Linked DNA regions of Neurospora crassa OR74A. The protein of the gene in region 2 binds, or shares a complex with, the protein of the main gene of each other region. Links are inferred from orthologs where the notes say so. Each region holds a gene or a part of one and is shown on either strand. Other genes may lie near its edges.

What was found.
Region 1: NCU06749 (region 2) and NCU02804 share a complex: the UniProt entries of both Saccharomyces cerevisiae proteins name them as parts of the mitochondrial large ribosomal subunit. The link is inferred for Neurospora crassa OR74A from reciprocal best matches to the Saccharomyces cerevisiae genes MRPL9 and MRPL25.
Region 3: NCU06749 (region 2) and NCU07852 share a complex: the UniProt entries of both Saccharomyces cerevisiae proteins name them as parts of the mitochondrial large ribosomal subunit. The link is inferred for Neurospora crassa OR74A from reciprocal best matches to the Saccharomyces cerevisiae genes MRPL9 and MRPL23.
Region 4: NCU06749 (region 2) and NCU04068 share a complex: the UniProt entries of both Saccharomyces cerevisiae proteins name them as parts of the mitochondrial large ribosomal subunit. The link is inferred for Neurospora crassa OR74A from reciprocal best matches to the Saccharomyces cerevisiae genes MRPL9 and MRPL6.
Region 5: NCU06749 (region 2) and NCU06469 share a complex: the UniProt entries of both Saccharomyces cerevisiae proteins name them as parts of the mitochondrial large ribosomal subunit. The link is inferred for Neurospora crassa OR74A from reciprocal best matches to the Saccharomyces cerevisiae genes MRPL9 and MNP1.
Region 6: NCU06749 (region 2) and NCU08552 share a complex: the UniProt entries of both Saccharomyces cerevisiae proteins name them as parts of the mitochondrial large ribosomal subunit. The link is inferred for Neurospora crassa OR74A from reciprocal best matches to the Saccharomyces cerevisiae genes MRPL9 and MRPL38.
Region 7: NCU06749 (region 2) and NCU00952 share a complex: the UniProt entries of both Saccharomyces cerevisiae proteins name them as parts of the mitochondrial large ribosomal subunit. The link is inferred for Neurospora crassa OR74A from reciprocal best matches to the Saccharomyces cerevisiae genes MRPL9 and MRPL44.

Annotation. Positions count from the first base shown.
Region 1 is NC_026501.1:9,064,477-9,067,432, forward strand, and holds NCU02804 (mitochondrial 60S ribosomal protein L25), read right to left. Parts: upstream 1,507-2,956; 5' UTR 1,315-1,506; coding exon 920-1,314; intron 832-919; coding exon 771-831; intron 710-770; coding exon 674-709; 3' UTR 501-673; downstream 1-500. Other genes in the region: NCU02805 (diphthamide biosynthesis protein 4), read right to left, coding at 1-82; NCU02803 (pre-mRNA-splicing ATP-dependent RNA helicase prp-28), read left to right, coding at 1,820-2,956. UniProt on the Saccharomyces cerevisiae protein: Component of the mitochondrial ribosome (mitoribosome), a dedicated translation machinery responsible for the synthesis of mitochondrial genome-encoded proteins, including at least some of the essential transmembrane subunits of the mitochondrial respiratory chain.
Region 2 is NC_026502.1:2,066,040-2,069,671, reverse strand, and holds NCU06749 (mitochondrial 54S ribosomal protein YmL9), read right to left. Parts: upstream 2,209-3,632; 5' UTR 1,866-2,208; coding exon 711-1,865; 3' UTR 501-710; downstream 1-500. Other genes in the region: NCU06748 (hypothetical protein), read left to right, coding at 1-316; NCU06750 (coiled-coil domain-containing protein 25), read left to right, coding at 2,563-2,635, 2,783-2,822, 2,965-3,068, 3,147-3,547. UniProt on the Saccharomyces cerevisiae protein: Component of the mitochondrial ribosome (mitoribosome), a dedicated translation machinery responsible for the synthesis of mitochondrial genome-encoded proteins, including at least some of the essential transmembrane subunits of the mitochondrial respiratory chain.
Region 3 is NC_026503.1:1,107,974-1,111,319, forward strand, and holds NCU07852 (mitochondrial 54S ribosomal protein YmL23), read left to right. Parts: upstream 1-1,207; 5' UTR 1,208-1,535; coding exon 1,536-1,556; intron 1,557-1,700; coding exon 1,701-2,231; 3' UTR 2,232-2,846; downstream 2,847-3,346. Other genes in the region: NCU07851 (superoxide dismutase 1 copper chaperone), read right to left, coding at 1-195, 357-548; NCU07853 (uricase), read right to left, coding at 3,069-3,175, 3,260-3,346. UniProt on the Saccharomyces cerevisiae protein: Component of the mitochondrial ribosome (mitoribosome), a dedicated translation machinery responsible for the synthesis of mitochondrial genome-encoded proteins, including at least some of the essential transmembrane subunits of the mitochondrial respiratory chain.
Region 4 is NC_026506.1:2,634,633-2,638,695, reverse strand, and holds the start of NCU04068 (mitochondrial 54S ribosomal protein YmL16), read right to left. Parts: upstream 2,801-4,063; 5' UTR 2,616-2,800; coding exon 2,330-2,615; intron 2,112-2,329; coding exon 1,998-2,111; intron 1,907-1,997; coding exon 1,539-1,906; 3' UTR 1,388-1,538; coding exon of another isoform or gene 101-1,387; 3' UTR 1-100. Other genes in the region: NCU04069 (3'-phosphoadenosine 5'-phosphatase), read left to right, coding at 101-1,387; NCU04067 (hypothetical protein), read left to right, coding at 3,710-3,803, 3,862-4,063. UniProt on the Saccharomyces cerevisiae protein: Component of the mitochondrial ribosome (mitoribosome), a dedicated translation machinery responsible for the synthesis of mitochondrial genome-encoded proteins, including at least some of the essential transmembrane subunits of the mitochondrial respiratory chain.
Region 5 is NC_026503.1:1,524,674-1,528,193, reverse strand, and holds NCU06469 (putative mitochondrial 54S ribosomal protein MNP1), read right to left. Parts: upstream 2,051-3,520; 5' UTR 1,833-2,050; coding exon 1,632-1,832; intron 1,365-1,631; coding exon 1,035-1,364; 3' UTR 501-1,034; downstream 1-500. Other genes in the region: NCU06470 (hypothetical protein), read left to right, coding at 1-291; NCU06468 (midasin), read left to right, coding at 2,636-3,520. UniProt on the Saccharomyces cerevisiae protein: Component of the mitochondrial ribosome (mitoribosome), a dedicated translation machinery responsible for the synthesis of mitochondrial genome-encoded proteins, including at least some of the essential transmembrane subunits of the mitochondrial respiratory chain.
Region 6 is NC_026503.1:4,951,434-4,955,010, reverse strand, and holds NCU08552 (mitochondrial 54S ribosomal protein YmL38/YmL34), read left to right. Parts: upstream 1-1,468; 5' UTR 1,469-1,765; coding exon 1,766-1,780; intron 1,781-1,864; coding exon 1,865-1,949; intron 1,950-2,262; coding exon 2,263-2,558; 3' UTR 2,559-3,077; downstream 3,078-3,577. Other genes in the region: NCU08553 (DNA directed RNA polymerase II 15 kDa subunit), read right to left, coding at 3,428-3,472, 3,538-3,577. UniProt on the Saccharomyces cerevisiae protein: Component of the mitochondrial ribosome (mitoribosome), a dedicated translation machinery responsible for the synthesis of mitochondrial genome-encoded proteins, including at least some of the essential transmembrane subunits of the mitochondrial respiratory chain.
Region 7 is NC_026501.1:6,595,341-6,598,525, reverse strand, and holds NCU00952 (mitochondrial 54S ribosomal protein YmL44), read right to left. Parts: upstream 1,823-3,185; 5' UTR 1,529-1,822; coding exon 1,348-1,528; intron 1,183-1,347; coding exon 1,067-1,182; 3' UTR 501-1,066; downstream 1-500. Other genes in the region: NCU00951 (inorganic pyrophosphatase), read left to right, coding at 1-179; NCU00953 (hypothetical protein), read left to right, coding at 2,475-2,824, 2,926-3,185. UniProt on the Saccharomyces cerevisiae protein: Component of the mitochondrial ribosome (mitoribosome), a dedicated translation machinery responsible for the synthesis of mitochondrial genome-encoded proteins, including at least some of the essential transmembrane subunits of the mitochondrial respiratory chain.

The DNA.
Region 1 (2,956 bases), on a different chromosome or scaffold from region 2:
AGGCTTGTTTGATCGAGGCGGGGGTGAGGTCGGAGGTGGTGGGTGAGAGGGAGAGGATTTCGTAGAAGGTTGGTTGGGACATCTTGGATGTGTTGGTGGTTTTGCGGTTTGGTGTTCAATGTGGTGTTTGGTAGTGCGGCCCCGGGTATAAAATGGTATGGTTGTGAGACCGGTTTGGTGTTGAAATGTATCGACGTGTAAGTGGTGAAAGGTTGGTGGTTTGCGTCGAGCAGCTTTCGAGAGAAAAGTTTGTATCCCGCAATCACGTGTCTCTTTGCGCTCGCTGCCCTTGTTATGTTGCTGTATACAGTAGGAAATGTGAATAGGCAAAAAAAAGAGGATGTGTGATGTGTCGGTTCTCACGTGGTGGTTTGAGTCTTAGTTGTGTGCCTGGTATCGTGAAGTGAGTTGTTCAGAGAAACAAATTCGGGGGGGAAATTTTACTGCACCGTTAGACACATTACCTCGTCTCGGCCTCCAACCACAGTGGGGAACTCCGTCTTATAAGACGCCAGAGGACGTTCAGTCAACAACCGGGAAACAGAACCACATTGATGGCAATCCCCTTCCAAATGGCTTGAAATTTGTTGTACATTGTTGGTGATGATACAGTCTATGGACATGGCAGTGACTCTCGTTGTAATCTTCCCGACAAGCGACAACAACCGATCGCTTATTTGGGGAACTTGGTCCAGTTCCTCTTGCCGACCTGTAGCGAAGCCCATGGTTAACAAGAGTGCAAACCGCAAGAGTTTGGGCGCAATCCTTACCTTTTTCCATTCCCGGATAAGGTCGGGCATAGCCAGCATGGCCTCTCTCCTCTTCTCCATCCTGTGTGCGAAATCCACCGTCAGCAAACCACCACTTCCTCCCAACCAGCAGCAGCAGCAGCAGCAGCAGCCGAGGATCGACAACGTACTTGGCAACCAGTGTCCTTTCGTGCTTGTGACCCTTGACCTTCTCTCCAACACCGGTACCCTTGACACGGAGACCGAGCTCGACTCTCTTCCGTAGCTTCTCCTCGTTGAGCTTGCGGGTGAAGGGCAGCAGCTCCTCGACGCCGTGTTCCTGGGCCAGCTTGACGAGCTCGGCCTGTCGCCTGAGCGAGTACTTGGGGTTGTGCCACTTTCCGGTGATTGGGTGCTTGGTGGGCATGAACGGGTTCGGGCTCTCCTCCTGGTAGGGCGTCTTGTGCGTCTCGGGGTCGGCGCCGGCGGGCAGGATCGAGGCCGGCGGGTACCGGGCCAAGAAGGTGCGCAACCGCGGTGGGAGCGAAAGCGCCAGCTGGACGTGCTGCTTCACCGTGGCCGCCATGGTGAAGATGTCGATCGACCGGCCTGCTGGCGGTACTGTGTCGGTCGAGGTGGGGGGGGGGGTTGTTTGTTTGTTTGTTTTTGTCGTAGGTGACAGGGTCCGGATTGCTCGAACGAACCGGAACGGGGAACTTTGCGATCAATCGGCCGCCGACGGGACCCCAACTGCGAAAAAGTTCCAGGTCGCGAAACGGTACATAGCGACAGCCGGAAGTTACACTTTGAGCCCTAACCCGACCTCTTTAACCCCCCGCGTAAGGCGGGGCATGTGGAGACCCTTGAACAGGCACGACAGGGATCACCGACCTTGAACCGTGACATAACTTTTGGGCGGGTCGAGAACTGTGCTGCACCGCTGCTGCACCCCAGAACCACCCAAGTTCGCCATAACAACAACCCCATTCCGGAACCCAGCACTGCTTGGAAATCAACACGTTTATTGTCAACACTGTCGCCTCCGACCAGTCTCTTCCTTCGATTCATCACCAACTCCATACACTACCACGATGAGCACGACATCAAGACGGGAACCCCCAGACCTGGCAGCACTGCTGCGCAAGAAGAAGGAGGAAGAAGCCGCCGCCGCGAAACCAAGATTCATCCCCAAAAAGGAACGAGAGAGGCTAGAAGCCGAGAAAAAGGCAAAGGAAGAAGAGGAACGCAAGCGCAAGGAAGAAGCCAAGCCTCAACCAAATGGAACAAATCATAACGGCAACCGCATGGACGGTATCCAGAGTCATCACAACCACAACCCTCAACGAAACATCCCAACCGGACCCAAGGCGATGCGGTACGACGATGACCGGGGACCCAACGGCATGAGCAACGGTCGGGACTACAGAGACAATCGCGACAACAGAGATAACCGAGACAGAAACCAACGGGGCGCAAAACGCGGCGCACCCAACGATGACGAAGAGAAGCGAGCCAAGATGGAGAGGAACGACGAGGCAGAGCTGCGCGCCCGCTACATGGGTCCAGTAGTAAATCAGTCCACATTCTCGGCCAAGAAGAAGAGGAGGAGGACGGCAGCGAACAAGTTCAACTTTGACTGGGATGCCGATGACGACACTAGCCGACCCTTCGACCCCATCTACGCAGAGCGTCAAGAGCCTCTGGTCCGACTTGGTGGTTACGAGATGACGGAAGAGATGGTGATGCGGAAGGCCGAAGCCATCCGTCGTGGCGATCCCGAGACGGGCGAGGAGCGCGCCAGGCAATACCTGGAACAACACAGACGGATCAAGGAGATGGAACAGCGCAAGAACCTGGGCAAGCACTGGTCCGAGAAGAAGCTGGAGGACATGAAGGAGCGCGATTGGCGTATCTTCAAGGAAAACTTTGGCATTGCCACCAAGGGCGGTGCCATTCCCAACCCTATGCGCAGTTGGGAAGAGTCCACGCTGCCTAGGCGTCTGCTCGACATTGTCAAGAACGTGGGTTACGACGAGCCGACGCCGATTCAGAGAGCTGCCATTCCCATTGCCCTTCAAGCACGCGACTTGATCGGTGTGGCCGTGACGGGTTCCGGTAAAACTGCAGCTTTCTTGCTGCCTCTGCTGGTTTACATCTCCGAACTACCACCCCTGACCGAGTACAACAAGAACGACGGTCCATATGCCCTGATTCTGGCGCCAACAAGA
Region 2 (3,632 bases):
TGACGAGATCTACTTCAAGGCGCAGATTCCGTGGATCTCGGGCGAGATGAACCAGCTGCACGGCCGCATCGACATCAAGTTCAATGTCAAGGGCACCAAGCGCACGGGCGTGATGCGCTTCGCCAGCTTCCGGCCCACGCCCCGAGGCATGTTCGAGACGACCGAGTGGAGTCTGGAGACGGAGGACGGCAAGGTCATTGACCTGCTGGAGGAGGGCGATCCGTTCAGAGCTATCAACGGCCGTGCGATGGAACCTGAGCTGGATGATGATGCAGAGGATGCGAAGGTCAGGGGTTTCAGGCAGATGCCCAAGTAATTGTTTTGGGGTGCTCTTAAGGAGGGAATAGTTTTGAAAAAAGGGAGGATATATATGGGAACCGGGGAAGGTGGTGGTCCCCCTCTCCCCCTCTCAAACAGGATGAGCTGAAGGACAGGATCGTGGTCTGGCTCTCTGATTGAATACCCGAAGGCTGTCAAGGAGGAATATGTGTAAGATATAGGGAGAGAACATACGAACCTATCACGGGCAAGGGTTGTATGTTCAAGTTGTTATACATTTTCGGTAGCTGTACATTTTAACACCCCACGATGCGTGTGTATCATACAAGAGAGAACTAAAAAAAATGAGAAACCGGGAAGGCTTTACCATACATTCCCTTCCATAAACCTAGTACAAACACATACTACAGACCAGAGACAGCCCCCCTCTCTTAAGCCGAAGCTTCTACCGCAGCATTTCCATCCGCCTTCTCTGTCAGCCCATTCTTGATGAGCGAATCTATCAGGCCCTGTCTCCTCGCCTCCTTGAGCTCCAAGTGCAACTTCCTCGCCGCCTGCAACTTCTCCTCCGCATCAGGGAACCGCTCGTTGAGGAGCTGCTTGGTGGCCTCGACAAACTCCTCCGGGGGAGGAGCCTTCTTGACAGCATCCTGAACCTTGACAACCGCACCCTTGTGACCAGCGACCGCGCCCTTGACCACCACGATGCCGAGCTCGTTGTCCACCATCAGAATGGGCAGGTTCTGGACCGTGTGCTGCTGCGCGCCCATGCGACCGGGCATCTTCTTGCCGGGCAACACACGCGAACCGGAGCCCTGCGAACCACCGACGGAACCAATGGTACGGTGGTTCAGCGAGTTACCGTGCGACGCCTCCTGACCGGCGAAGCCGTGACGCTTCATACCACCGGCAAAACCCATACCGCGCGTGATGCCGCGCACGTCCACCACCTGGCCGACGTGGAACCAGTCCGGAAACAGCTGGACGCCGACCGGCAACAAGCCGTCCTGGTTGCGCACCTTGAACTCGGCGAGCGTCTGCTTGGGCGGGATGCCCTTGGCCTCGTAGTAGCCGAGCTGCGGGGCGCCCACGTTTTCGGCGCGGCGCTCGCCCAGGCCAACCTGGACGGCCCAGTAGCCGTTCTTGGCGCGCGTCTTGTTGGCGACGACTTGGACCCGGTCGAGCTGCAGAACGGTGCAGGGGATGCGGGCGCCGGTGCGGCCCATGAAGACGGTCATGCCCTTCTTGACAGCGAGCACGCCGGTGCGCAGGGGTGTAGTCTTCTCGCGGCGCTTGAGGGCAGCGGCCGGGCCCGAGGTGGGCGCCGGAAGACCCTGCGTCACTTGGTTGAATCGTGTGGGCCTGCTGCGCTTCGGGAGCGTGCTCCAGCCGTACTTGACGCCGCGCTTTGTGATCTGAGGGAGGAGGGAGGGAAAGACAGTCGATGGCGAGGAGGCGGAGAAGGTGGGTGTGGTCCGGCCGGCGAGGAGGAGGGAGCTGGCGGCGGCGGTGGTTGTGGTGTGGGTGGCTGACCTCTCGACGAGGGAGAGCTGCCTCCAGCAGCGCGCGGGCAGCCGGGGCGCCATCGTGTATGTGTATAAGTCTGAGGGGAGGGTTGGGTGGTGTTGTGTTGCTTTTGGTGGGGTTGGTCGCAGTCAATTGGACCTGACGGTGTTCGTTGTATCGATGTCGGGGCCCCGGAGCGTCGAGTGGGGGGAATGGAAAGGACACCGGCTGTCTTCGAGACGCGAACCGGAGGGGGCGGAGTTGGGAGGTCGTTTCGGCGCGCGGCCGTTGAGGTGGTTTTGGGGCGGGTGCGGGAGTGGTGGTCGCCGGCTCGAAGCACGGAGCAGCAGAAATTTGATAGCCACTCAGAAATTCAGTAACGGGATGCTCCCCCCCCGATAACGTCGATCGGTTCGGCATCCGGGGATTCACAATTGACAGGGGAGGGGCGGCTATTCACAGGCGGGTACTATGTATTTGGCGGATTGTGGTGTACAGAGTGTGACATCTCTACAAGAAGGGTTAGGGTTAATTGCTTCTTTCTATTCACTTAGGTAGTTTTACTTCCGCTGGAGTGCGGGCGCATTTTACCGCATTGGATCCCCCAAACTCAACCGCTAAAACATCTTCACTCGAACCACCACCACACAGCCCCAGAGAAGAAATCGCGTTTTTGCATCTTGGTTTCCCTTCTTGCACGAAGTGTCTTTTTCATTGTCGCCGTTTTGAGATACCCAATATTCCCATCTTTCATTTCTTCCAAAGGCATCAGCAACCATGGTCTTCTATTTCACTTCGACCGTCGTCAGTCCCCCGGCTTTCATTTATGTGGGGAAAGACAAGTTTGAGAGTACGTGAAGATGATCATCAGCCACAATTGGTGGTATTCTGCATCTCCTTGTGGAATATGCATATATCTTGACACACTCATGGACATTGCATATTTGACTTGGATATAGATGTCAGCTCGTCACTCATCTAACATGCTATTTTATAGACGAGGAGTTGATCCAACACGGCTGGGAGGAGGATGTATGGTAAGTTTCACCCCGGCCAAGCCTAGTTCGGCATTTTCTAACTATTCTTCGTAGGGTATGACTCCCCATGAGGTTCTCGTCATATTATGCTCTGTTTCTCATTACTAGGCCCTACTTAGTTCCATGTCGACAAACTTTCCAGTGCTCATATCTACCTCCGTCTCCCAGAGGGTTGGACATGGGAGAACATTCCCGAGGAGCTCCTGACCGACCTTGGTCAGTTGACCAAGGCCAACTCCATCGAGGGTAAGTTGCTGCTTTTGAATTCTACTGTCAGGAAGTCATGGGGGAATTCGTGAGGACTAACTCTGTGCTTTTGTAAAGGTAACAAGAAGGACAACATCACAATCATCTATACCCCATGGGCCAATCTCAAGAAGGACGGCAGCATGGCGGTCGGCCAGGTCAGCTTCAAGGATCAGAAGAAGGTGAAGCGCATTTTGATCGCGCAGCGCGAAAATGCTATCGTCAACCGTCTGAACAAGACCAAGGTTGAGAAGCACCCGGACCTGCGAGAGGAGAAGGAGCAGCATCTCAAAGAGCTGCGCAAGAAGGATCAGGCGGCGGTGCTGGCGCGGAAGAAGGAGGAGGATCGCCTGAAGAAGGAGCGGGCCGAGAAGAAGTGGCAGAAGGATCATGCCTACGATGAGCTCTTTGCTGAGGAGAACATGATGAACTCGAGCAATCAGGATCGGGATGAGACCTGGGAGGATGATTTCATGTAAATTTGCTTGAGAACAAAAGAAACAAACCTACTGAAGTTTTCCAAGCTACATAAGACCTGAAAATCCTTTGATGCCCGAAAGCCAT
Region 3 (3,346 bases), on a different chromosome or scaffold from region 2:
GGAACCGCGCAGGATGGCGTCACGGCCCGTGGACTGGATGGCGTTGACGATGGCGGAAGGCGCGGCCGTGCCTTCTATCGTGAGCAGCTGGTCCTTCAGGTTGGCCTCCACTTTGTTGATTCCGGGGAGCTTGTAGAGTGCACCGGAGACGTCGTTCACGCAGCTTTCGCAGTGCATGGGCACGGCGAAGAGAGTCTGTGAAATGAGTTAGTATGATGTGCCTCTGGAAGTATGTCAAGGTGAGTCAGATATGTGAGACAGGCTTGGACCCTTTATCTAAAGAAAAGGAAGGGCTTGGACCGAAGCTCATATGTAGGCATATATGAAAATGAGGCTGTAAAAGGGTATAAACAAACCTTGAAGGGGGTTGTGATGGAAGCCATGTTGCCGGCTATCTTCGGGATTGATGATTTGGGAGCAGCCGGGGATGACTGTGACTGAAAATAGTTCCTATGTTGTTGGCGTTGTTGCCAAAGGTATGCGCCTCCAAAACCTGCTAAAGCTAGACTAGAAATACTTAGGATTTGTCTGGCCGTGTACGGTGGCATCGGTTTCAGGCACTAAGAGGTAGCAAAGACAATACTGAGGACAGTATAGAAGTGGTGGTGTGAGAAGCAACACCAACGTGAGACGATGGATTTGTATAGAAGGCGATGGAGGAGAGCCCCACGTTCGGCGAAGGAGGGGACGACTAGGTACAATTAATAACGTTTTGGCTCCAGTCTACGGATGCTTAAGAGACGGGGTAAATGCGACTCTTGTGCTGAGATTCCTCATTGTTTCTCGACAAGAGAGTGCATGAAGTCACCTCACTGGAGTGCGAAATGTCGTTTTCCCATCTTCACTGTAAGACGGCAGGAAGGTAGATGTCGGCCTGCCAAAATGTTGATTTCAAAGCGACGGCACCTTTCTGGGACCACTTTTTGCGGGCGACCAACTGGGGCTCCGCTGTGTCCGGCTCCTCGATCGGCCCAAGCCAGGGCAATCCTGCTCCCCGAAAGCGTGTGATATGTACCGGGAAAGGAAGTGCAGGCTTTGGTACATGGGACATCAGTAAAAGAGAGCTCTAAGTGCGCCGAGTTGGTGTTTGTTAGTGCTTTCCTCAATTACACACTAAGACTTGCGGACCACCGTAGCCACCCCGCCAACCGCCAGCGGGCCGTCGTGCCCCAATCGTACGTGGAAATTTTCCGGCAAGAAAAGTGATTGCAGCTTTTGGGCTTGGCAGGCTCTGCTGCTGCCCTTCTGCAGGAGCTCCATTCTGCTTCCCGTGATACCGGACCACATTTGATACCCGTTCGCCGCGACAAGCCCCGGACTTTCTCGCGCCTGCCGAACCCGCCGTCTCGAACACTCCGGAGCCCGCCCGATCCCGTGTCATTCAATTGACCCGGACGATAACACATAGAGGTTCACTTACCACCAGTCGATGAGGGACTCGTTCCCACTGGTTTTCATACCTGCCTTCTCCACCTTAATCCTCTCTTGAACACCATAGTATACGACCTACATCACCACCGCGCAACACCGTCAACATGTCGCAAACAGTCGGAGCTGTAAGTTTCTTCCTGTTCGGACACAACTGTCCCATAATTTCGTCGTGTTTCTTACAATTTTGGCACTTGCTCGCCCTCCCGCCACCACCACCACCACCTCCACCACCCGTCACTAACCACCGCCGTCTTGCGACGAACGTGTAGACCCGACTAGCCTACTCCCGTGTCTGGCACCACATCTCCGCCGTCACCCCTCACCCCACCCTCTCGACCATCAAGGCTCCTTCCGAGGCCATCACTCCCCCTTCTCTCGGTCGCCTCGCCTCGCGCATTGCCACCATCCTGATGGGCAAGCACAAGCCGATCTGGGATCCCTCCACCGACTGCGGCGACTACGTCGTGGTGACCAACTGCGCGGGTTTGTACACGACGGGCCACAAGAAGTGGCGCAAGACGTACTACCGCCACAACACCCGGCCCGGTTCGCTACAGGCCATCACCATGGATGCGCTGATGGAGAAGCACGGCGGCGCCGAGGTGCTGCGCAAGGCCGTCAGCGGCATGCTTCCCAAGAACAGGCTGCGCGACAAGAGACTGGCGAGGCTCAAGGCGTTTGAGGGTGATGCGCACCCGTACAAGGAGAACTTGGTGCGATTTGGCGGTAAGGTGGTGGGCGCTCCAGGTTGGGAGGAGGCTGTCAAGGCTATCCGGGAGGCGGACATGGAGAGGTTATGAGCGACCATGGCTTTGAGGTGTGAAGGTCTGGTTGAAGGCGCTGGAGCTGGCTATCTACTCATGGAAGAGTGTCAGAGAAACGGGAGAGAAAGAGATGTAGGGACGAATCTACATCGAGCCGTTACGAACCATCTAGCCGACGAAGACTGAGAACTCTGTCAACTGTGAGGAAGATTGTGTGGACAACCACCTCGTTGGGGCGAGAAATCTCTCTCGTGTGTTCTTGTGTCTGTTACAGCCCACTTGGCCGTGTGATTCACGGGCAATGCCGCCAGTGTCAGTCTGTATATTACATGGGAAGCCGGTTCATGAGCCCAGCGCGCAACGGACAGTGTACGAACTTGGGTTAGAAAAAGGGGGCCTCTCATTGTACAAATATATCACTCAACAAGATACCATGATTACGACTCATGAGAGCTGTTTAGACTCATTGATTGTTTGATCTGATAAGCGATGAGCAGATCCTCATGTCCAACACGCTGAAGGCCCGCGAAGGCAAAAAGTCAGCCTCACCGATTTCACGGCATATTTTTTCACTTGGTAATTCGAGAGTGCAGCTAGCAGTGCTTTTCGGATGCTTGCTTGTTCATAATAGGAAGTTTATTTGATTACCCCTGAAAATTAGCGCCAGTCAAGATGTCCATAGCCTCCGTCTCATGATGATCCGTTGCATCAAGGTATCATCATCTTTCCACCTTCAAAACGTACGCCTGCCCGCCAACCAACCCCTCGGAACGTGAGGGGGAATGCAAAAAAAAAGAAGAAAAAAAAATGGTGATATCATAAAAGAAAGCCAAAGAAACATGTGTGACGTTTTAAAAACAAAGTTCAACAGTCTTACGAGCGAGAGACCTCGCATTTGATGAGACCGTTGGGACCAGACTGGGGAGCGTACACCTCGGCGTCCTTGCCGGTGTTCTGGAGGCCCTTGTGCCAACTGAGATCTGTTTTTTTTTTTTGGGTGTTAGTGTAAATTTATCTGGACCTATTTTTTTTTTTTTTGGTGGATTTGCGAAAGGGGTACTCACCAACTTCAAAGTAGTGCTTGTTGGGTAGCGAATAGTTGGTCTTCTCCGTCTCGGGTACCGCATCCAAGATCTGCTCGCACATCTTGT
Region 4 (4,063 bases), on a different chromosome or scaffold from region 2:
GCCAGAATCCCAAGTTCAACCACTCAACAACTTGGACTGAATACGTATTCCGGTTACGGATTGAAAATTCCCCGAGGTTTATCGATCCTCTCGCGGCTGTATGACTGTGGATAAGATCAAACAGCAGAAAAAGGCATCGTCCCATACTTTCTACTCCAAAATTCTCTTCGTTTTCTCCCTCATCGTCCTCATCCTGGCTATCTTCAGTTCCCGCATCTCCTTTCCCCGGCTTTCCCTCATTGCGAGCCATTTGACTGGCAGTGCCAACACAATCACAGCAACCAGCCGCTCAACCATTACAACTACATCTACACAGAAGATGGCCTCTTCCCAGTACGCAAAGGAGCTCGAGGTAGCTCAGCTCGCCGTCCAGCGGGCCGCCCGCCTCACCAAGCGCGTCTTCCACGAGAAGGCCAAGGGCACCGTTTCCAAGGACGACAAGTCCCCTGTGACCATTGGCGACTTTGGCGCTCAGGCGCTCATCATCAGCGCCCTCAAGGCCAACTTTCCTTCGGACGAGATTGTGGCTGAGGAGGAGGCCGCTCAGCTGCGCGAGGACACCCCCCTGCGGGACCAGATCTGGGAGCTCGTCAAGTCCACCAAGCTTGACGATGAGGCTGCCGAGCAACTCCTTGGCGGCGCCATCAAGGATGCCGACGCGATGCTGGAGATCATCGACCAGGGCAACAGCAAGGGCGGCGCCAAGGGCAGGATATGGACTATCGACCCCATCGACGGCACCAAGGGCTTCCTGCGCGGTGGACAGTATGCCGTGTGCTTGGGACTGATGGTGGACGGTGACGTCAAGGTCGGTGTTCTCGGTTGCCCGAACCTGCCTGTGGACGACGCTGCGCCGTTGGCTGCGGATATCGGCACCAATGCGACCGATGAGGGCCGGGGTGTCATCTTCTCGGCCGTTCAGGGCCAAGGCGCGACTAGCAGACCCCTGGGCACCGCCGGTCTTGCGGAGGGCAAGTCCATTGCGATGAAGCCTATTACAGAGATGTCCAACGCCAGCTTCTGCGAGAGCGTGGAGGCGGGTCACTCGGATCAGGGCGTGGCTGGACAGATTGCGCAGAAGCTCGGGATCACCAAGCCTAGTGTGCGCATGGATTCCCAGGCCAAGTACGGCTCTATTGCTCGCGGCGCGGGTGATATCTACCTCCGTCTGCCTACTTCCAAGTCTTACCAGGAGAAGATCTGGGATCACGCTGCTGGAGATCTGATTGTGCGTGAGGCTGGTGGTCAGGTTACCGACGTGAGTGGAAACCGCCTGGATTTCAGCGTCGGCCGCACGTTGGCTGAAAACAAGGGTGTCATTGCGGCGCCTGCTGCGGTCCACGACCAGGTCATCAAGGTCGTTCAGGAAGTTCTCGGGCAGCAGTAAAGCCTCGGTGTCATAGTGTACAGGTTATGGCAGGTATCGGGCCGTTATGAGGCCATGTGTGTGCCAAAAAAAATAATAGACTAAATGTACAATATTCCCCCCTTATCCTCATCAACAACCATATCAGCCACCAAAACCCACCGCGCGTCCTCTATTTGATCTTCTTCTGCTTCAACTTGATGGTCTCGCCGTTGACAAAGATACCCTTACCCTTGTAGGGTTCCGGTACACGCCACCTCCTGATATCAGCGGCGAAGGTCATGACCTGCTCTCTGTTGATGCCCTCAAGCAGGATTCTTGTCGGCTGCGGCGTGCTGGCCTTCATGCCCTTGGGAACGCCCATCTCGACGGGGTGGGAGAAACCGAGCTTGAGGCAGACGAACTGCTGGCCGGGGTATTCCTCCTTCTCGGGGCGGGTGTCGATTGTAGCTCTGTAACCGATACCGACCAAACGCAACACGGCCGTGTGACCTTCTGATACACCCATAATGAAGCGGTTGAGGTACGCCCATGTTGTTCCTGTTTTGTCCAAGAAAGATTCGAAATCGTCAGCTGACTGGCCGCCCGTAACTTTCCACATTCTCCAAGACAAGGAAGGTGTTTGCCATACCCCACATCTCTCTCTGCTCCTTCTCGTCCCGGTTCGCTACGCTGAGGGTCGCTCTCCTTGCCTCGGCGTCGTGGTCGATCTTGATGAAGTCGGGAATGTCCATCTCGAGTTGTCCTGTGAAAAAGCACACGCACACGTGCAACAAGTCAGCCAGCTGCTCTGCTCCCATCCTAGTCCCCTTTGCACTCTCGCGCAAACACCCATAAACAACGTTCTCTCTCGGGCCTCTCCCAGCCCATCTGTTGCGCCCGCTCCAGTTTCGTTGCGTATCCTCAAATAAAACACCCATCTGGTCCTTTTGCCAAGTCGATTTTACAATAGAACAAACTAACCCAACGGGCCCTGCACCGTAATCTTGCGCTTAGGCTGCTGCTTCCACTGCGTCATGTCGCGCTTGACGAAGGGCTCGCCAATGGTGATCTCGACGCCAGGAGGGATACTGAGCGGGGTGCGGCCGAGCTTGGACGGGCGGGTTGTCGTCGCGGAAAAGTTGCGCCGGGCGGCGGCACCGGCAGTCTGTTGGAAGGCGGGCACCAGGAAGCCGGGGAGTGTGACGACGGGAGAAGATGAGGAAGAGGCAACGGCCTCAAGGACCCTCCTTCGGCTTGGGGCGAACATCGTGGTGAGTGTCGTCGTCGTCGGCAGGGTGGTGGCCGTCGTCACGATGCGGAACCGGAATTGGCGAAGAGACGCGGCGCTCCAGTTCGGAGGTTCTGGCAGTCGCAAGGGCAGCACCGAGTCAATGGCAAGCCGGCCGGGTGGTGGGATGAACCGAGTGGATCTTCGGAGAGCTCCAAAAAATGTATCGGACCTGACGCGGCACAGCAATGCAGCTAGTGATTGGCTGTAAATACAACAGGGTTAGGGTCGTATCCGCATAGTCTCGCTGCTGCTATTCGCTTGGGCTAAGAAACAACGACGAACACCAACAGATGTTATTCCATCCGACATCATTCATCTCGAGTAAGAAATCTTCAAAAAGAAAATGGCACAGGGCGTGGAAGTGTAGAGTTTACTCGATGGAACATATTGTTTCACAATATTCAGATTGAATGTTGAATTAATCTCCCGTTCGACAATCGTCCAGCTTTCCGATGACGACTTTACGGATGCCAACCTCACGATAGTCATCACCACCCAGAACACCCGTCACGGTCGAAGTCTTCCAAACTGTCTCAAGCGAGCTGTTTGCACTTTCTCGATACCGGATGAAAAGATGCAGATTCCAGTGATGTCAAGACAAGTGGTCTACAGCCCAAATCTTTGTCTAGGCTCGCTTCTGTTGGAGAGGACAGCGTCACATCAGACGATTAAGAACCAGCAAAAGTCGAGCTCGGCAGACAATCACAGTCATATTCGATGCGAACTTCAAGTGAAGTCATTTCACACGAAACCTTTTCGCGGTTTCACAATCCTGTGATTCTTGTCCCGCTAAATTCAAGTCCGCTTCTCTTATCCTGGGCAGTCGCGATCGCCAACTTACCCTCATACACCTTCCTTCCTTCCCTCTCTTGAATCGCTCCTTCTCTTCAAAAACACCACAGAATTTTCAGTTGCATGGCCACAAACTTCGATCGCCAAAATTGCACTACCAATATTGCCAGAATCTCCATTTCTTACTGCCGAAGTCCCTTCGACGGCACTCTTCTGGACGCATCTGACTTTATCAGTATATCATCATCAGCCTGTCGCATTGCACTTACATGACAACTATGGCCAGGAAGCTTCTCTTCACGGCTCTCTGTGCCGTTACAGCTACACCTTCTCTGGCCTTTTCGTGGGGAGGTGAAAGAAAAGTGGCAGTTCGTAAGTAATATCAGAGCACTGCCTGCAGGGCTTGACTAATAATATGACCGCAACACAGCCGACCATCAAGTCAACATCGACCGCAACATCCAGCCTTCGGATCTGCTTCGAGCGTCCTCACGCCTACCAAATATCTACGCCGTCGCCCTAAGTGAACTTCAAGAACTCGAATCAGAACCGTTTTGCCATCGTGTGGCCGCCCGACTCCTAGTCAACAACTGCCAGCTGGTAGACGGAAAGAACGACGCCACAATCCTCAC
Region 5 (3,520 bases), on a different chromosome or scaffold from region 2:
TTGGGGGATGACGACATGAGGGCGATATGGGAAGAGCAGGAGGAGTGGGAGAGGAGTTTGCAGGCGGGGATTGGAGGGATTGGAGGGAGTGGTGGTGCGGGGTGTGGGCATACTACCTCTACCAGTAACGGGGGTGAGAGGGATGATGGTATGAATGGGAATAACATGAAGGAAAAGCCAATGTCGATTAGTGGGGAGATTGCCGAGATGGCGAGGAGGAAGCAGCTGCAGCAGCTGGAAAAGGAGCAACAGGAGAAGCAAGATAAAGATGTGGAGATGACTTCGGGTTAGGAAACCGACGGAGGAGAAGAGAACCTGGGAATTCAAGACCAGTAGGAATGACACGGGTGGTGGATACAAGAGGCGCGCTGGTAGGAGTGCGATAGAAAGAAGAAAATTGAAGGAGGCAAGGAGAAGGAGGTTGAGAATAAGAAACAAGGAAGTTACCGATACATGGGGTATGCATGGGATGGCGTTTATGTTTTTGGCTGTTTAGTTATCTTCGGTATCCATAAGCGAAAGTGGGGAGATACTATTAACTCAGAAGCGGCATCTGCTCACGGTAATATCGTCGACAGACTCTCATGTTTTCGCTGACAACCCGTTCTTCTATCCATCCCAGTTCTCGTAGTATGATATAATGTTACATGTTTCATTGCTTTTTGTACACGTACAAGTGGTATATGTTGTTGTGAGGAATCTGTGTCCGCCACTCCCCCCCTTTCCCCATGAGGATATAATGTAGATGAGACCGAGAATCCCCCTTTATGTGTTTCCCAAGGCCCTGGCATTTCTTCCAACTCTGTCCCGTCATGATCATCATTATAGGAAAAAAAAAAGAAAATATCTTTCCGGCATCTGTGTCAGGAAAAGATCTCCTCGTTTGGTTCTTTTTCTGCGGGGGAGGGACGTGACCATCCTACAAAACAACAACACACATACACACACACACACACGGCGCCTCCACCCACCACACCACCACACAGAGACCATAACCATAGCAACCAACCCTTTTACTAGGCAGAAGCAGCAGTTTAGTCCATGGTGACGGTGGCGCCGAGCTCCTTCATGGCGGCGACAATCTTCTCGGCATCCTCCTTTGGTACCGACTCCTTCATGACCTTGGGCGCGCTCTCGACGAACTTCTTGGACTCTACTAGGGAGAGGCCGAGCAGGTTCTTGACCTCCTTGATGACCTTGGGCTTGGCGGCGGCGTCGAACTTCTCGAGCTTGAGCGTGAACAGCGTCTTCTCGGCAGCGGCAGGGGCGGCCTCCTCCTCCTCAGCGGGAGCGGCGGCGGGGGCAGCGGCGGGGGCGGCAGCGGCGAAACCACCGACGGGGAGATCGGGGATGTTGAGGCGGGACTGTTTTGTGTAAAAGAAGAGAGAGAGAGAGAGAGTGAGTGTTAGTGTTGGTGCCCATGTACATGTGTGCGACTTGAGAGTCTAGGTAGTATAAGATAGGTCTGTCTGTCTGTCTGTCTGTCCGGGGCCGGGCCGGGTCGGGTCGGGTCGGGTCCGGGGCGCAAAAACATCCGGAAACCTTGAAACATGCTCCGATTCGGGTTTTGTGTGTCCCGGTTCCCGGCCCCGGTTGTTCTTCTTCTCGTGCTTTATTTAAATCGGGCGTACCTTGAGGCTGGACACAAGCTCCGAGGTCTCGAGGAGAGTCAGGGTGCTGATCTGGTCAACAATGGCGGCGATCTTGGGGTTGGCGGCAGGGGCGGCGGTGGACTCGAAGCGCTTCTGGACGAGGAGGGAGCTCGAGGCCCGGGTGGATGCGCGGAGCTGGCGGGCGGCGCATTGCGCGGCGAAGCGAACCGAGAGAGACATTGTTGGTATGTGTGTGTGTTGGTGGTGGTGGGTTGTGTGGATGGATGGATGGAGAGAGGGGAGTCGGACTCGGACCGGAGGAAGGAAAGAGAGAGGGCGCGCGGGGGCGGTCGGATTGGGGTTCTCTTTTTTTGGTGAGGGAGGCTTGCCGTCGACGTCGACTTCGAGGATCGTACAACCGAACCGTACAACAACTAAACGGAGATATTTTTTTGGGGACGTTGTCGCGCGCTCCCGGGTGCTGCGAAATCTGGGACCCACTACTGGCAGTTGGCAGCTTGGTGGTTTGGGCGTGCAAGTTGGATCTATGACGGCTGGCTGACCCGGAGCTGCAGCTGGAGGGGAAAACCCAAGCTGCCTGCCCCGCGCGAGTCTGGGGATTAGGTACCTCTGTACCTTGAAGTCCACTGAAGACGCGCTAAAGGATGGGCCCCTGTCATCCCAAGCGCGCCCCTGCTGCCGCTGGGCTGTTCGTCCCACCCGGAACTAGGTTCCACTTTTGAAGAAGATGGCTCCCTTGCCTGCCGCAGCCGACTTACACTACACTATGTAGAGTACTATGCAGTACACCCCAGCACATGCGCCTAGCGCTAAGTAGCATGTACCCCGCACTATCGTTCAGCGCGATAAGGAATTTCATGTGGGAAAAAGTTCCAAACGGGAGAAAGCGAAGTTCAATGGGCAAAAAAGTTAGAGATAAAAAAAAAAAAGAGACTAAGAAAAACATCACCGTTTTTCACAACGACGACGACGACGACGACGACGACATCCACGCCAACCCGTCCCGTCGCTTTTCCCTGGCCATGATGGCCGTGATCGATGTGAGCCAGCAGAGGGCGTCGCTCCTTAGCGATGCGACCACCTTGGACCTCTTGCCGCCAGAGTTGCTGCTCATAATCCAGGATCACCAATCGACCAAATTCCTCGATGCGATCGCCAGCGCCGCTCTTGTCTCGACAGCCACCGACCGCATCTTTACCCATTTCGAGTCTGTTTTTGCCGATATTTGCGCCAGATGGATTCTGTCTTCTCCAAAACTCGATACGCGAGTCCTTGCCGCTTTCGCAAGGATCTTGCCCTTCGCCCCGTCGCTGTCCGTCTTCCTCGTGTCGCATCTTCGAGGAGGATCTTTTGGTGGTGTTAATGGTGGTAACCACAACGACAAAAGCAACGACAATGATGCTTCTTCAAAACTTAAACCTCTCGATTCCCTTGACCTAGCTTCGATCCGCCCAGATGACCTCCCAATTGTCCTCCTAGCCCTCTGGAGGCTCAACAACTTTGACAAGCGCACCTACGCCGGCCTGTCAAAGCCATCCCAAATACAGACCCTGTTCGCACACGAGAACCCCATCGTCCGATATCTTGCCGTCCGAATCTTCTGCCAGCTTCATAATGCCGCCGATGTCAAGATCGAAGCCCTCCTCGAAAAGCACATACCCAAAGATACCAGCCTTGTCGCAGAGCTCGACGGGCGCGAAGCCGACTATGCGTTCCTCAGCCTACACGAGGATTCTAGACGTGAAGACATTCAGAGCTCTCGCAGTAAATCCCAACAAACTAGTGCGGTTGACGATGCGGTTGTCGAATTGAATATCACAAACATCCCAGAACAGAACCTCACTCCTCTAGTTGTCAAATATGGAAAGACAGTCCTCCCGCGTCCCCTCGGCCCTGTGACTGCTCCC
Region 6 (3,577 bases), on a different chromosome or scaffold from region 2:
TGTTTCCGTCAGCAATTGAGAGCTGAAGCTGACCGCAAAGTGAATGAATAGTGCACTCTCTCGGCCTCAGGTCTCACGATGTGTGTCTGCAACGAAGCCAAGTGCAGCCAATGCGACTCGACAGTGGCTGACAATGACAGGCGCAGTCAAGTGATGGTGGTGGTGGTAGTGGTGACAGCCAAGGTCACAAAGTATTGAAATTCAAGCTGAAGCTGCAGCTTTGATCGAAAGGGACAGACTTGTTGTTGTTGTGGGTGGTGGTTGACGGGAGGACAAGGACGTGGTCGCGAATGAGGTTGCAAAGAAGGGCGGGCGGGCGGCCGAACCCTTGAGAAAGCTGAAGAGCTGAGTGGGAATGACTGGGGATGGAGGTCAAGCTTGGGTGAGGGTCCTTTTGCGGTCCGAGTCTTGTTGGTGGTTGGTCGGACTCGGGGGGAAATGGAGTTGGAGTGGTCCGGCGAGGCGGGTTGCCGTCATATGTATTCTTGTACTTGTTGTCTGTCTATGAATTCCTGAACTCAAGTGTGAAAGTGCGAGGAAACTGCAAGGTGGTGCGGGCTTCTTGCTTTTGGCTGCAGGGATATGAGGCAATAGCCTTGTTTGAGGGCCTTGCTATTTTACCTGGAGCTGTAACAGGAAGAACAGCAACAAACCGTTTGGTGGCAGTGAAGCTGAGGTGAGAATAAGCTGAAGCTCAAGGTAAAACTGCTCAAATCGATTGGAGAACAGGGAAAAAGGGGACGAGCAGAAACAAAACAAAAGGGGGCCCGGCATTGCAAATCTTCGCCTCTTTACTCCTCTTTTCACGATCCCACCTGTTGCCGTGGTAGCGGTGGTCTAGCCAAATTCCGAAAGACACAATTGGAGAATCAGCCGACGGGGGAGCGGGGACTTGGGGGAGAGTGGGAGACACCATCCTGGCTGGAGCTTGGTTGCGCCGAGGTTGTCATTGGTGGTTTGGGTCAGGGCTGATGGAATGTTTCTAACCAGATGGGGATGTTGCTAGCAATGGACGACTTGAGTCTCAACGATCATCTGGGGTACGCTTTCAGAGATGGGTACTGTATGTATATCGCTGTCTAACTTGCCTCTGGAGTCGTCGGGTAGAGATACTATGACAAGCTGTTTGCAAGCTGACTTGAGATGGTACATGCCCGGGCTAGCTGTCTGATTGTGTCCAGAATGGCCGCACTCATTATCTTCCTTGACAAATACAGACGATTCAACAGTTCATTGTCCAATAATGACTTCTCATAAAATGTGCTCATTGTTAAACTCTTCTTAACATCAACTACGGTCATTGAGTCCTCACATGTTCTGTTGCTGATGCCTCAGACTCTCACACTTTCAGAGCTTCAACTACAGCTACTTCCCGAAAGCGTTAGTGTAGTCAAAAAAGCAGCTATGTAAAGAGCATGCATGAGACACCCCTCCCGACTGGCTCCACACTCTTCGTCCAAGTTTTGGCGCGTCCCCTTCTTCTCTCTTTTCTCGCGTTACTTAGGAGCCTGCTTACCTAATGCAGGGTACGTACCTCTAACCTGGCATCCCCGTCCCGCAAACAATTTTCGATGGGGTCCCCGCGTCCGGCGGGCACGACGGACAGCAGCCGGCCGGCCGGTCATCAATCAATCAATCAATCGATCGATACGCGGCGTCAACCGTGGAATCCCCATTCAGTTGCCGGGTTTCGGTCCTCTCGACAGCCAACTAACTTCAGCCACTACTCGCTCGGTAACAGGGACAGAGTAACCGGTTGCCCAAGATGATTCAACTAAAGGTTTGTTTTTTTTTCTTCTTCCCTTGCTGTCGAACGAAAGCAAAAAGAGTTTGGTTGCTAACGAACCATGCGAACTGCAAACAGACGATGCTCAACTGCATCGACAACTCGGGTGCTGCCCTGGTGGAATGCGCCATGGTTGTCGGCCAAAAGAGGCATGCTTCGATTGGTATGCTTTCGAATTCCCTTTCGATTTCCGTTATACACCCACGAACCCATCGTCGACTCGAGCATATCATATCTACACGAACTACCCGATCCCTCTTTCGTACCCCAACACCAACACCGTCGTCGCCGTTCATACCCGTCCCATCCCGTCCGATTCTTCTCGTCCGACCAAGGAACATCTGGTCTTATACACATATCATACTTGCCTCTTGCCCCTCTTGTTCCTCCCTCCCCCTTCTTTCCCCCCTCTTGTCCCCCTCCCCCTTCTTTCCCCCCTTCTTTCCCCTCCTCATACCTCAACTAACAGAAGAAAGGCGACCGCATAGTAGTAGTCGTCCAAAAACAGCGCGGCGCCGACTCGGCCGGCATGGCCGCCTCTTCGGCCGCCACCAAGGTGAAGCGCGGCGACATCCGCCACGCCGTGGTAGTGCGCACCAAGCAAAAAGTCCAGCGCCGCGACGGTTCGGTCGTCCGGTTCGACGACAACGCCTGTGTCTTGATCAACAAGGCCGGCGACCCGATCGGATCGCGCATCAATGGTGTGGTGGGCCAGGAACTGCGAAAGAAAAAGTGGAGCAAGATATTGAGTATGGCGCCTATGCAGGCTTAGCTAGGCTTGATTGATCGATCAGGGAGGATATATGTACGATGGATGTAGCGGGAGAATCAAGATGGAATGAAATATGAATACCCGTAAAGAAAAAGAGTTGAGTTTGTTGGGGTGGGATGTGGCGTGACGCTCCTTGAAGTGAAGAGGAGTATGCTCGGTGGGATGTGTCATTGCGGTGACTTGGTGACTCTCGTGGGGGGTTTGGGTGTCGGCTCAGCTTGGGTTGGCTGTGTTGAGGTAATGACTGACGATGAGCGCTACGGAACATCACTTTGTTGATATCTGACGGAACTGTGGTTTGTGTGTCTACGGATTTCCAGGATGGACTTGGGATGGCCTGGCGTATACGGGTTTGAGACTGCGACGTTGTTCTCAAGGTACGACGGCTTCACACACCGGACATCACACCAAAATATGGTCTCATCGAACGGCCTTTCTTCAAGCGCCATTTTGGGTAACGATCAGCCAGCAGCAGCCGTCACATCAGTCGATTAGGTTTACCAGTCACTTCAGTTCGGGACATCAAGCGTGCCGTCCTAATCTGTGTATACTACTGTACATTACATGTCATGTCAAGCAAAACAACATCACCATTGCATATCACACGAAACAGTTTATAACGTTATCCACGAGATTCATGGAAAGACCATTTCTAAACCAGTGTCCTGCCAAAGCATGAAAAAGAAAACCAAACGCCCTAAACCGCGGTCCTTTTGAGTTAACCGTGTACAAACGCCACTGTAATGCAACTCATCATGACCCCCTGATCTTTATTAATCAACCTGTGATTTTTTCCGACCGCCCGCCTGTCCGCCTATAACAAGGATCGATCTGGCCCTATTCCTTCCGAGTGAAGAGTGAATCCCCCACTACTGGTAAATATTACCACAATCGCAGCAGACGTAGAAAAGTTTCTGAAAGTAACGTTGTTAACCCATGACTCTGGTGAGCCCCTCCCAGGCAGGTGAGTGAGTCTTACCATTCCGGTTTCCGAAGTACGCTGCTGTGACTGGAAGAAG
Region 7 (3,185 bases), on a different chromosome or scaffold from region 2:
TCATCACCGGCAAGACTGCCCCTGGCGGTGTCTCCACCACCAACGTCACTGTCCAGCACTCCAGCAGCCGTGTTGCCCCTGACCAGCTTCCTCCCCTCCCTCCCAACGAGAATCTCCCCCCTGCCCCTATCGATAGCTCCATCGACAAGTGGTTCTTCATCAGCGGTGCTTCCGCTTAGAGAGTTCGTTTGTTGAGGTAGAATAAAGATAATTTATTGGCACTTTGTTGTATTGGTCAATTCGTCGTGAACAATCCTCCATGGTGTTACCCTCATGCGTTGTTTTGCGTAGAGTCGAACGTCTTTGCAACAAGGTATGCGCGGTCAGAGATTGGCCATTTCTGAGGCTGTAGTCCATGCCGTGGGATAGGGACTTGTCGAGGAGATGCTCGACATTCTTGCGCCATGAGTTTCGCCGTTGAAATATACCGATACCGTTGATGAATTCCCCATCGAAGGAAACACGGTCGCCAAAACAAAAACAAAAAAAAAAAAAAAGGCCGATCTCAACTTTGACTTTGTCAAAATGGGCGTACCGTGATGTGTGTGAATCAATCCATGGCAGAGGTGCTATATACGCATGTCTATAACAACAGGTACCCAAACTGCCTTGCCAACTGAAAATCGCCGGCCCCTTAACGCCTCCCAATGCTGTTGGTGTACACTTACAACCTCTTGCCCAATACAAATACAGGTTCATATCTTTTGTTGTTGTTTTCTTCTTTTTGGCTGGTAAGGCGATCTTACAGATCTCTCAGAGAGGTCGTCAGGTATCCGGCTCCAAGCTCGCTGGCTTTACCCAGGTGATTCGAATGTGCCTTTAGATATCCAGACTTTTCCTCTTCTCCTCCCGGTCAATCGTCATTTTGGTACCACGGACCAAAGCCAAGTAGTCTGGGTATCAAGACAAGATGGGCTTTCGTCGCTCTTCCCGTGGCTTTTCCCTCCTTTTTCCTAGTCTCAGTCTCCCTCGTTTTACCCGCAAAGTTCGATTGGTGGATCAAAACACAACAAGGGCGTCTCGAGATTGCTGGGTTTTGAAGAAGAAAAGAAAGACAGAGATTCGGTTAACCGTCGTTCAAGTCGGCCTGCTTCTGAAGGATACGAGAGTGGCGATCCACCTCCTCGACAATGCTTTTGATGCCCATGTTCTCAACGTCGAGGTTCATTTCCTTGCCGTCCTCTGTTTTTTTTCAAATACGTTAGACTACGGCTTGATTCACAGCTAACGACTCTTGATTGCCTTCCAGCCGGAATGATCCAAATTGCAACAACCAACTGCAACGGCGGTCCGTCGATGTGTGACAGAGTTGCAAGTGACAAGAAGAGAGACATTGGGAAAACGTACTGAACTTGACGTAGAGCAAAGGAGTCTCGGTGGAATTCCGCGGCAGAAGCTGGGTGGTGATGTTCATGCCATTGGAGCGGGCGTTGGGAGGGAGGAAGGAGAGGAAGAGCCGGGCGGCCTTGGCCTTGGCCGAGAAAGGGTTGAAGCGCGTTGATACGTCGGTGATGAAGCGGGTGAGCATGTTGGGCGAGGTCTCTCGGGTGGTGGTGGTGGTGACCTGAGGTCGTGTTGGGGTTGGGTTCGGGGAGGAAGAAGAAGAAGAAGAAGAAGCAGGAGGAACGCGGAGGCCTGACTGCGACTTTGCGAATTTGCGACGACGGGACTGCACTGCACACCGGACGGGGACGGATACGGAGACGCGGGAGACGGGAGACGGGTCTCTGTGGAGGATCGGACGGGGTACGTAGCTTGTGTGTCGCGATTTGGACTTCGATTCGGTCTTCGTGCCTGGCGCCGGCCGGCAGCGTGGAGGAGGGATGCGATCAAAAATTACTGGAGGTACGTACCGATTGCGCCGGGGACCGGGAGGGGTGTTTTTTGTAAAACGGAGAATGCGGGACGGCGCGTGCTACGTGTGAGAGATGGGCTGTGATTGGTTGGGAGCCAACTGGGATCAAACGGTGTCAGGCTCGATTTTGCATTCATATTTACACTACATCAGATCAATTGACATAATACATCTTTTTAATCTTCTGAACGGGAAGAGAATCACTTCTGGCCTTCTATTACATTGTGTTAGTCTGTAGCCCTGAGTGTGTAAGTTTGTGCTTTGTTCCTTCAGCGCAACAGTACGTACTCCCATTTGCCCCAGCGAGTTGTAACTTGAACTCCGTTACCGAATTCCGCATGTGATCCGTTTTCATTGACCTTGAGGATGACGTTGCAAGAGCCACGCCCACCGAGAACTTCCATTGAACATCGCTACAGTGCTCTCCTTTCAGGCCAGGTTTCCACTAATTATCAACAACAGCACAGCTGCTGATCAACACCAGGTACCTAAGTGGGATCCGACTACGATCCATGGAAACCATTTGTTACACATCCACCTTTTTCCAACACATATCTATCTACCTTTACCGAGTCAACTCCCTACGAATGCAATACCGACATAATACAACAAGTCACTAATGTCAACATTCGAAACGCTTCAAGAGCGGCTCACGGCCCTCCAAGAGACGACCGGCCAGCTTAAGGACCTCATCGAGCGTCTCGCCACGCTCAAATTCGAGCCCGGTTCCGTTCCTTTGAGCAACAGCATCAGCAGTCTCGCGAACACTGGCGCCGATGGAACCACCAACAGTGAGGCCGCTGACTTGAGCGCCGAAATCAGCCAGGTCTTGCGCGAGGAGGAGGAGGATTTGGAGTTGCTGCAGGAGGAGATTATCGACTTGCGCTCCGGCCGCCCAGGGAGTGAGGCGGAACATCAAAAGACGAGGTTAAAGGAGGGCGCGCAACGCTTGGCTGCCGAGCTTAAGGGGTGAGTTTTGTTTCTCATCTTTTCAGCCTGGATGGTGATGACGATGATGAAGATGAAGATAAACAACGTACCTAACAAAATTGCGTCTCAAAAAAATACAGCTGTCGAACCTCCTTCCGCAAAGCCCAACTCGCGGCGCGCCGCAACCTTGAAACCGCCCAGCGCCTCGAGCGCCAGCTCCTCTTAGCCTCCTACGTTGCCGTCGCCGCCAACCTCGCCGCATCAGACCGCGGATCAGGCGCCTCAACACCCGTATCTACTGCTGCTGCCCCCAGCGGTGGTGCTCAACCAACCTCGTCGACGACGTCTCCACCCCCTCTCTCAACCCCCGCCGCCGCCGCTTCGTCAGATGCTCCTCCTC